Mus musculus: one gene and its partner. The protein of the gene in region 2 interacts with the protein of the main gene of each other region in a pairwise test. Links are inferred from orthologs where the notes say so. Each region holds a gene or a part of one and is shown on either strand. Other genes may lie near its edges.

What was found.
Region 1: the proteins of Pld1 (region 2) and Pea15a interact in a two-hybrid assay, tested with the Homo sapiens proteins (2 studies listed by BioGRID). The link is inferred for Mus musculus from reciprocal best matches to the Homo sapiens genes PLD1 and PEA15.

What each region holds. Positions count from the first base shown.
Region 1 is NC_000067.6:172,196,183-172,200,567, forward strand, and holds the end of Pea15a (astrocytic phosphoprotein PEA-15), read right to left. Parts: coding exon 4,226-4,385; intron 3,085-4,225; coding exon 2,929-3,084; intron 2,509-2,928; coding exon 2,444-2,508; 3' UTR 546-2,443; downstream 1-545. UniProt on the Homo sapiens protein: Blocks Ras-mediated inhibition of integrin activation and modulates the ERK MAP kinase cascade. Inhibits RPS6KA3 activities by retaining it in the cytoplasm. Inhibits both TNFRSF6- and TNFRSF1A-mediated CASP8 activity and apoptosis.
Region 2 is NC_000069.6:27,937,025-27,942,092, reverse strand, and holds the start of Pld1 (phospholipase D1), read right to left. Parts: upstream 3,414-5,068; 5' UTR 3,343-3,413; intron 1-3,342. UniProt on the Homo sapiens protein: Function as phospholipase selective for phosphatidylcholine. Implicated as a critical step in numerous cellular pathways, including signal transduction, membrane trafficking, and the regulation of mitosis.

The sequences.
Region 1 (4,385 bases), on a different chromosome or scaffold from region 2:
GGTGGTATCCTACACACTCTTTCCTCTTGACCCCATCCAGCAGCGCAGGCCAGATGCCAGCTCCTGGGCTTCCTTCGTGGCAGGGAGTGTGTGGTAACTGAGTAGTAGTCTTATGTCCTCACTGCTAGAGGGATGATGAGGTGGGCTTAAAACCATGCACTCTGGAATTTGTTGTATTTTTTTCTCAGTAAAGCTTTTCCCCTGACTGCTGCTTTGTGTGGTATGTGGTCCATTTATTGTGATAGAGGACATAGTGTACAGTGTATTCCTTCCAGATACATGCTTGATTTTGCTCATACTTAAAAAGTGAAGTCTGGGATATCCCTGTTTCTAGTGCTTGAGCCATAGAAGAATGTTGTAAGGGAAATAGGTCTGTTAATGTCAGTGGTGCTTAAGAGATGGGGCACTTTCTTTGGGGTTGTTTTCTAGTCCCTTGTTCTATACTGCAGTGAGTGGTGATAGGGAAAACATGGCTACACACCCCCTCCCAGTCATTCAGAGCTTCCCAAACTTAGTGACCCACAGAGATTCTAGAATCAGTCAGGTACGGTAGAGTCAGTCACCTTTATTCCAGGGTTAGAACAAGGCTGTGCACGCTGCAGACAGAGGAGCACAGGCTAGGAGCAACCTCACAGCAGCACGAGGGGGTGAGTATATTAGGGCAGGTTAGTCTGTTTAAAGTTTGGTTTTTGCCTTACAGAGAAGCTTCTGAGAAGCACCCTGTCTCCTCCCTCTTCCATAAGGGAAGCGCCGTCTCACTCCTGCTCCCATGGAACACCCCAGAAGGAAGGATGTTACCCAGAGTTCCTTTCTCCCACCCAGTTGTACAAGGATTTCTTGTCTTAAAGGAGATGCCAGGCAAGACTAGGGAGATTTAGGAAGGACCTTTAAGGCAAAGCTGGAGTCTTCGAGGTGTGAGAGTTAAGGCAGGTGTCTGCAGCAGTGGCCAGAGGAGATGGGCAATCTGGGCTCAGCTAGGAACTGAGGGTGCTCTAGTCAGTCTGGCTTCAAGAACCCTCTTCTGACAGCCATTCCTCCCCTCCCTGTGAAGTTTTGCTCCCACATCCTAAAAGCACCTACCTTCATCTTTCTCTAAATTGTCTCTTAGCTCACATGTAAATGTAACATTTGTTGTGGTTAGTTGAAATGTGTTCTTTTCTGTTTGGACTCTGTAACAATTTGGCTCTGCCACTTCCTTTCTGTGGCATCCCCTCCCACTCCCGCTCTGGCCTAGACAATAAGTTAATGCTAAAAACCACAAAAAAGGGCAGACATGGCAGTGCGGGTTTAATATACATATATGTAGAATATATATGTACACACAGTTAGCACGGTCAAGATGGGGAAGGGCATCTTGGGACAGGGAGGAGGCTGGGTTCACTCACTGCACTCTAGTGACTTGACTGTGTGGCATCCACAAACCCAAATGAGAAAGGTTACCAGTCCCTTCCTGGATTGAATCAGGGTGGTGGTCAGTGCAAAGGAAACACTGTAATTAACTACTTGCTTGGAGAATTCTAAACTGGAGAGTGGAAAGGTTGCCTACAATACTCTGTAGGTTGTGGGCAGGTTGGGGTTAAAACCTAAGGATCTCATCCCCCAATCTCCCTAGGCTCCAGGTCAGTTTATCCAACAGTCTGTATTTAGAAACTGAGGAGCAGAAAGTGGGCCTGTCTCTGCCTGCGTCCCTAGCTCAGGCTCAGTAGTGCATGGTCCCGGCATCGTCTCTCCAGAGCAGAAGGTTGGGGGACAGTAAATGCTGGCTTCTCCATTGGGGTTTGATCTTTGGGACCAGGAAAGGATCGAGTGGTCTTCTCATTAAGATTTCTGGCTCATCCGCATCCCAGGCCCATAACAAGGGCATAAGGAGGGCCCATTGGCACTCAGGACCTCAGCCTAAGGGAACAGCAGGAAGCTGGCTTCTAACCAGTCCAGCATAGAGATACAAACACTGAGTCCTGGCTTTTCTTTGTCCCTTACCAGGTGGAGGTTGAGTGGCCTCTTTACCTTCCTTCCCCACTGGTTTTCTTTAGATACAACCATCTCTCCCATACCTCATCTTCACCATAGCTCCTCAGTGTAGGAAAATGCAGGTCCTTTCTGCTTCCATAAAGATGTGGGGGAAGAGTGGAGGAAAGGGGAGAAGGAGGAGGAATGTGCCAATTTCTGTTTACATAGAAAAAGCGTCCACCTCCCCCTATAGTGGGGGGATTTAAGCCCCCCCTCCCTTGCCTCCAATCCCCTCATGAGGAGGAGGAACTAGATGAGCTAGACAGACAGACAGCCAGAGCGTGCGCACACGCACACACACGCGCATAGTAAGGGTTAGGACCAAGTTAGTAAATGGGTACGGAGCAGGGGGTTGCCCTAGCCCCTCCCATTGAGGATGGGGAAGGGAGTGGTCTGATGAAGATCCAACCTTCCTCCTCTTCCTCCCCCTTGTTCAGGCCTTCTTTGGTGGGGGAGCCAATTTGATGATTTCTTCTTCAGAGGGCTGCCGGATAATGTCTGAAAAAAAAAAGGGGGGTGTTCCCAGGGATGGAGGTCGCCAGGCAGGCAGGCAGGCCCATTAAGCATCAACCTCTCCCCAAATTCAGAATGACTTTCTACTCTTAAAAATACAGTCAGGCTGGGCGGTGGTGGCGCACGCCTTTAATCCCAGCACTTGGGAGGCAGAGGCAAGCAGATTTCTGAGTTCGAGGCCAGCCTGGTCTACAAGGTGAGTTCCAGGACAGCCAGGGCTATACAGAGAAACCCTGTCTCAAAAAACCAAAATAAATAAATAAAATAAATAAATAGTATATGTAGTATACATATACTATACAATATATAGTATATACATATATACACACACATACATGCATGCATATATATATAGTCAGACAGGGAAGGGAGACCTAGAGCTATGCCAAAGGTATGGCTTCTTACCTTTGTACTTCTTGGCACTGGGAATACGGGTTAGCTTGGTGTCCAGCTCCTCCTCCTCAGAGATCTTCAGCACACGGGTTCTGTAGTCAACCACCATAGTGAGGAGGTCAGGACGGCGAGATATCTCAAAGATGTGCTCAATGTAGGAGAGGTTGTCTGGAGGAAGGCAGCTTGTGTCAGAGCTAGGCTATAGAGGTCAACTTCTGCCCTGTCAAAACTGGTATTCTTGAACCACAACTAAGTTGCTGACATTGGTTATGGGAAGGGACAGCAGTGAAAGAAGTGGCTACCAAGCCAGGAAAAGAAAGTTGGAGGCAGCCAAATACAATTCAAAGCATTACTCCTTAGCGGGACAGGTATTTAGCCTAGATCTTCTAGGGTATAAATGGAAAATACAGACGTTGGGCTAGATACCAAGTCCATCCTGGGGAATGGTACAATAGAAAGGCTGCCTTCAAAACTACCCACACCCACCCTGTCTTTCCACTTTCCTTCCAGATGAGTATGGGGAGAAATCCCAGACACTACACAGAACAGGAAGGTGAGATTTATGGTCAATCAAAGAGATATTCTGAGCCAGTAAGGAAAGTTACATAACTGACAGAAAGCATTGACACCATCAGGCTGGCTTAAGATTGCCATTATTTCATCTGGCTCCTGTCCTCTGATTGTTGCAATAGTCTTAACTGTAAGAGGTCGTCCTTCGGCTTTCCTCCCTGCTGTCAGACCCCAGCCAGACTCGTTCATAGGAAGGACTCTGGGGTGACTTCAGTTTCACACACCTGTAACTAACTCGGCTGCCTTAGACCCAATATTTTTTAGCCCAGCTAACGTAGACTGTGTTCTTTTGCTTAACATGTTCTCTGGGTTCTACCTTAGACATACCATTTGCTTTTGGAGGCAGTCTATTATCAGCAACTTGGGGGGGGGGGCTCTCTCCTTCCAAGGTGAGCCCTGGGCCCTCTTGTTAGGCATACATGGCAAATCCTTTTACCTGCTATCCTGCCAGCACTTGGGGCCATCTTAAATGCCATTTGACCCTTCGAGCCCCAGCTGCATGGCATTGCTCTAATCCAGTGTCTCCCTCCCACCCCTAAAAGGCAGCAGTCTCTAGACATAGGTAAGAGAACATTAGAACAGTGGTCTTAAGTTCTACCACACATTGTACTGCTCAGGCCCGTAGGAGAACCTGTCTGACAACTCCTGTCGAGGGCCGATCACTTTACCCCCGCCTTGTCATGGGGTTTCCCCTTGTGTTCCTTGCAGTTTACTGAATGAGCAGCGCCCCCTCCACAACCTTTGTCCAGCTTGTTGTGGCTCTCCAGGAAGCTAAACCAGGCACTGCCTGTGGTGATCTCCTCACTCTTCTCACTGGGGATGTCCTCCTTGCAGGCTGACTTGAGCTGTTCCAGATCTTCAAGGGTGATGTTGTTGGTCAGGTCCTGAAGGAGAGTTCC
Region 2 (5,068 bases):
AAAGGAGGTTTTTCACATCTGTAGAATGCTCTGAATGGTATCCAAAGCCAAGTGGACACCAAGTAAGTGCTGATTAAATAAACAGTTTATCATCTTATTTTGTCATTATAATGCTTATTCAATAAATCTAAAACCTGATAAAATTTCGCAATAGAAAAGAAGATTGTGGTTCTATGGAACAGTTACATAACATATGCTGCTGTTAAATAACCCGCCGCTAGAACATCTGGGATCCAGATTTGATACTGCACTGTGAGTTCAGGGAAAACACAGCATCAGAACACATTCCCACTGAACCATATGATGCAATCTGTACAGTTGCCTTTCTAATCAGAAAAGTCCCAGGCTTACAGGAAGCTGAGGCTATGCTTCTCATCTGAACCCTGAAACATCTTTTAACCACACCCTAGCAAATACATTCTATTTGTGCTTTTGGGACTTAAAGGATTGTAAGCATAAAACCCAGCCTCCCATATGCCAGCCTTTCTCCTGTATACAATGACTCAATCTAACTACAGGTTTAAAGACCCATATCTCATGTGTTCGGTCCATTGATCTTTAGCATATGGCTGGGGAGGAGAAGAAATTGCTAAACCCAGAAACTTGTTTGATCAGAAAGGTCATTGGGTACTGGAAACATGTCTTTAGCTGGGCTCACTCATGGTGTTGCCTGGTACTATTGTACGGCTAAAGGGGACAACATTGAGATTGTTTGTGTTTGTTTGTTTGTTTGTTTGTTACATATCCAGAGGGGGGAACACTAAGAATAAACCCCTTCTCTGTTTGTACCTCTAGACAGCTAAACTCGCAAAGTGTTTCCACTACAACTCCCAATCAGCTTACCAACTGACCCTCACATAAGCTTCCTCAACCCATGGAGGTAAAACTTACCAGGCGCCCCCTATCTGGCTATGCCTTCTATGTGTGCTCTTTAAAAGTGCATTTCTTGCTGACAATGTAGCTCAGTTAGTCACGTGCACCCCTAACATGTACAACACAACACCAGGTATGCTGGTGTGTGCATGGGGTCCCAACACTTAGGTCAGGGTGGGGGCAGGATGTTCAAAAGCATAAGTCACCTTCTGCAACCCAGCGAGTTAAAGAGAGGCTCGCCTGAGCTATATAGAAAAAAAAGTGTCTTTCTTGAGCTGGGGATGATAATGCAGCCCTACACTTCCAGCATTTGGGAGGTAGAAGCAAAGGCAGAAAGATGGATAATTCATAGGAATCGCCACCAGCAGAGTGAGTTCCATCCAGGGTCATACAAGAGACTATATAAAATTTCTTTAAAGCTCTGTGAAAAGAATCCAACCTTACTCAGTGAGAAAACTGAAGCTTGCAATGCAGTCTTTATTAATAAGTGTTACTAAACCTTGTAAGGAAGTCGAGAAGTCCTTTGGGAATGGACTGGGGGGAGATGGTAGCACACTGGCAGAGCTGTGCGATCAAACATCTATTTTTAAATTGTAAAGATGGCAAAGTTACGTGTCTATTTTGATAAAATAAAAATAAAACTTAAAATTAAAAAAAAATGAAAAAGGGTAGAAATGGGACTGAAGCGATGGCCCAGCCATTAGGAGCACATCCTGCCTTTCCTTAGCATCTGAGTCCTGTTCACAGCGCCCAGTTTGAGCAACAGCCTCTTCTGGCCTTCTTAGGCACCATATGCACATAACCCACACCCAGGCCAGCATATTCACATCATTAAAAATAAAATAAATCCTTAAAACATGTTGAAATTAGAGGTAGGTGAATTGTCAGTGTAATGCTTTTCTCATACAGAGTTGCATAAGAGCATTCATACTACATACTAAGACCATACACAAATGCATTCTCGGTAAAGGTCTGATGAGCAGGCTGTCCATTAACTAGGCAGTACTCATCTAGTTATCAGTAAATCAATCAACCTAAATGAGCCTGTAGAGAACTTAACACCAGTGTGTGTAAAACGCTGATGCCAGAAACAACACAGCAAGGACACCATCTCCTCAAAACCTTCTCCACTCGCACTATTTATTTGAAAAGCTAATTGTACTGGCTCATAAAAATTCAGATACCCGCTTACATAACCATTTAAAAGGTCCCCACACACCATTTAAAGGCTGCTTACAAATTCAAGCTAAACAGTTGAGTACAAACTCACTCGTGGGCCACAAAGCACGTACTATGGAAAGAGATTCTTGCATAAGTAGGCATAACAGACTAGTTCAAACTAGGCTCTCTGCACCCGTCAGGCTTCCTTGACAGCACCTCTGACAGGTCAGGACTTCTGAATATCTCTCTGAATTTCCTGGGTAGCTAGTCTCCAGAGGCCCTGGGAAGGTCATAAGGAGTTGGCTAAGCTGAAATTGGTGGGCCTGGCTGTCTAAGAGCGCTCTTCGTCCTGTGGAAAGATCTAGAAATGGTCGAATGCAGAAGCTCCTGTGGTCCTTAAGATTATGTTTTGAGCTTCATGAAAGAAGGCCGCTGGCAGTGATCTGAGATTGGGAGGCGGGGGTGAGGAAGGCAAACGTAGGCGTGGCAGGTAGCCCTAGGGTATGGGGGAAAGGGCTGGCCAAATTCTAAGTCTTGACCTGTACTTAAGAGATGGAAGCAGGAGGGCCAGGAATGTCATCCTTGGCTACATAGCCTTTGAGTGCAGCCTGAGCTACAGAAGACTGTTTCAAACAAACCGTCCCATGGCTTAGAGACCTCCTAAGGTCCCTCCCTGACCCGGAACAGTCAGTCCCAAACATCTTGGGTCGGAGCTAAAATAGCAACTGCCTAACACAGGCCTTTCTTTTAATTGCTACCCCTGTCCCTCCTCCACTTCAGCACAGCACATCTTTGGCCCCGAGGCAGCAGCTGTGTGGCTCGGCGCCCGGCACTGTGCTTCAGCTGGACTCTAAGCCACTGGAATGCAGCACTTCCTGGTTGGTCCGGGATGTTGGTGCTGTCGCCATCCCGGTCAGCCCACAGTGCTAAGGAGCTCAGGGAGCGCGGGACGATCTAGCGGGAGCGAACAAATCTACTGAGCCCGGGACCCGAGGAGGTGGGGTGGGGTGCATCCTACAGAGGACGCCCCGGATCTGCAGGGACTTGAGAGTGGAGTGGGGCTAGGACATCAGCAGCTGACCCGGCTCTGCTCTCAGGGTAGCGGTCCTCGCCTGCGGTCAGTGTGCGCGCGGCTCTTGCCAGCGCAGACACTACAGGAATTAAGACTATGGGAGGGACTCCAGGGTTCCCAAGGGAACTTCAGGGACAGGGCTGGTGAGAGGGGCAAGAGAGGCGGGATGAAGCACGAGGACCGCGAACGTCCTGCGGGCTCAGAAGTCCCGCAAGCCTGGCCCCGGCAGCTCCTACCTGCGGGCCTGGGGCGCGGGCACACACTCTGCGGCGGCGGCGACTTCGGGGGTCCCCGCGCAGCTGGCGCAGCTGGGGCCGCGGAAGAAGGGCGGGCGCTGGGACTCGCCGCCCGGAACTCGGCCGGTCTGCAGGGTGGGGCGGGGCGGCGCCGGCCAGCCTCGGTGACAGCCTCTGCCGCCGGCCTTCCTCCATGCCTCGGTTCTAACACTTTCTTCTGTCCAAGTGTCCTAACTCAGCCACAGTTATCCGCGGGGCGCAGGGGCGCACGCAGGCGTTGTTCTTACCAAGTTCACTTCCCTGGTCTCTGAGCCCAATCCTTGTCCAAGACTGGCCCGCAAGTTACAAGCCAACAGCGAGCCAACTGGTGAAATATTCCTGCCCTGAAGTGACTTGCTTAATTAGGGGCTTTGTAGAGGTCAACTGTGGCCTTCCTGCAAATCCCACGGGTAGGTCTTGGTAGGTGTTATTGCCTGTTTATAAGGAAACTGAGGCTGGCAAGTAAAGAACCAGCCTGACCCTAAGCTTGCTGGAGCCAGCAATCTCTTCAGTCCCCAAAACTGCCCGTGCTTGTCCCCCCAGACCCCCCTTCTCTCTCTCTCTCTCTCTCTCTCTCTCTCTCTCTCTCTCTCTCTCTCTCTGTGTGTGTGTGTGTGTGTGTGTGTGTGTGTGTGTGTTGTGGCGAGTGTTCGGTTGGTTAGTTTGAAGTTAGGTCTCTGCTGTATACCTGGTTGGCCATGAAGAACAGGTAGAACTCAAACTACATGATCCTCCTGTCTCAGTCACACATCGCCCTCACACTTCTCACTCCCACTTGCCATCAGTACTGGGTCTAATTCAGAAATGTTAGAGAGAAAAGTAAAAATAAAATGGGAGGAGAACGAGAAAGTCCCATTACCCCGATGGAACTGTCCGCACAGTAACTTTGCCGTTTTAATACACTTAAGAGAGTCGTCATCAAGGGAAATCCAGTGGCTGGGTGGTGTGAATAGCAATCCTTTGGGAATATAATTTTGAACACAAGTCAGTTCCAAAACTGGTTGCACAACACTGCTTCCAGCCAAAACCCAAAGATGCAACAGTTAGTTTCCTGTACATCAAATTGCTGATGCTGTTGGTCTTTTGAAATTGTTTATTGAGTATTATACAGTGAGACAGACCCAGTTACATAATGTCTTACCATGCCCATGGCACTGCATGAAATGAAAAATATAATATTTCTGTCCAGACAGAGGAGGAGTGAAATTATAGCGCGGGGCTCAGTTTTCAAGTAACCTGGAGCTGCCCAGCCCTCCCTGACTGCATTCTTCTCTTTTGAGCACATCTTTCCTAATGATTGCAGAGTCGGGCAGCCGTCACTCTTTCCTTGTTGACAGAAATAATTGATGCCTTTTGAATCCTATGATTCTGACAGATTTTTGCAATTATATGCACAGCCTTCTGAGCAAACAGGGTCTTGCCTAAGAGGGGTTTGGCAAGACTATATAACAAGGAAGTAACTGAAAAGCTGCATATGTCTCCTTCCTCCCTTCCTCCAGTTTATTAATTTCAGATGATTTGATAAGTGTGTGCCTAGGAGTAACCGCACTCTTACAAGCTTGTCTTTAGATGGTGTGAGACATTTGGTTGAGAAGCACCAGGCTGTACAAATTACATCCTGATTTCTTAAAAGTCGTCATTGAAACTTTTGGCATCAACACATAACAATAGGTCTTTCTGTTACTAT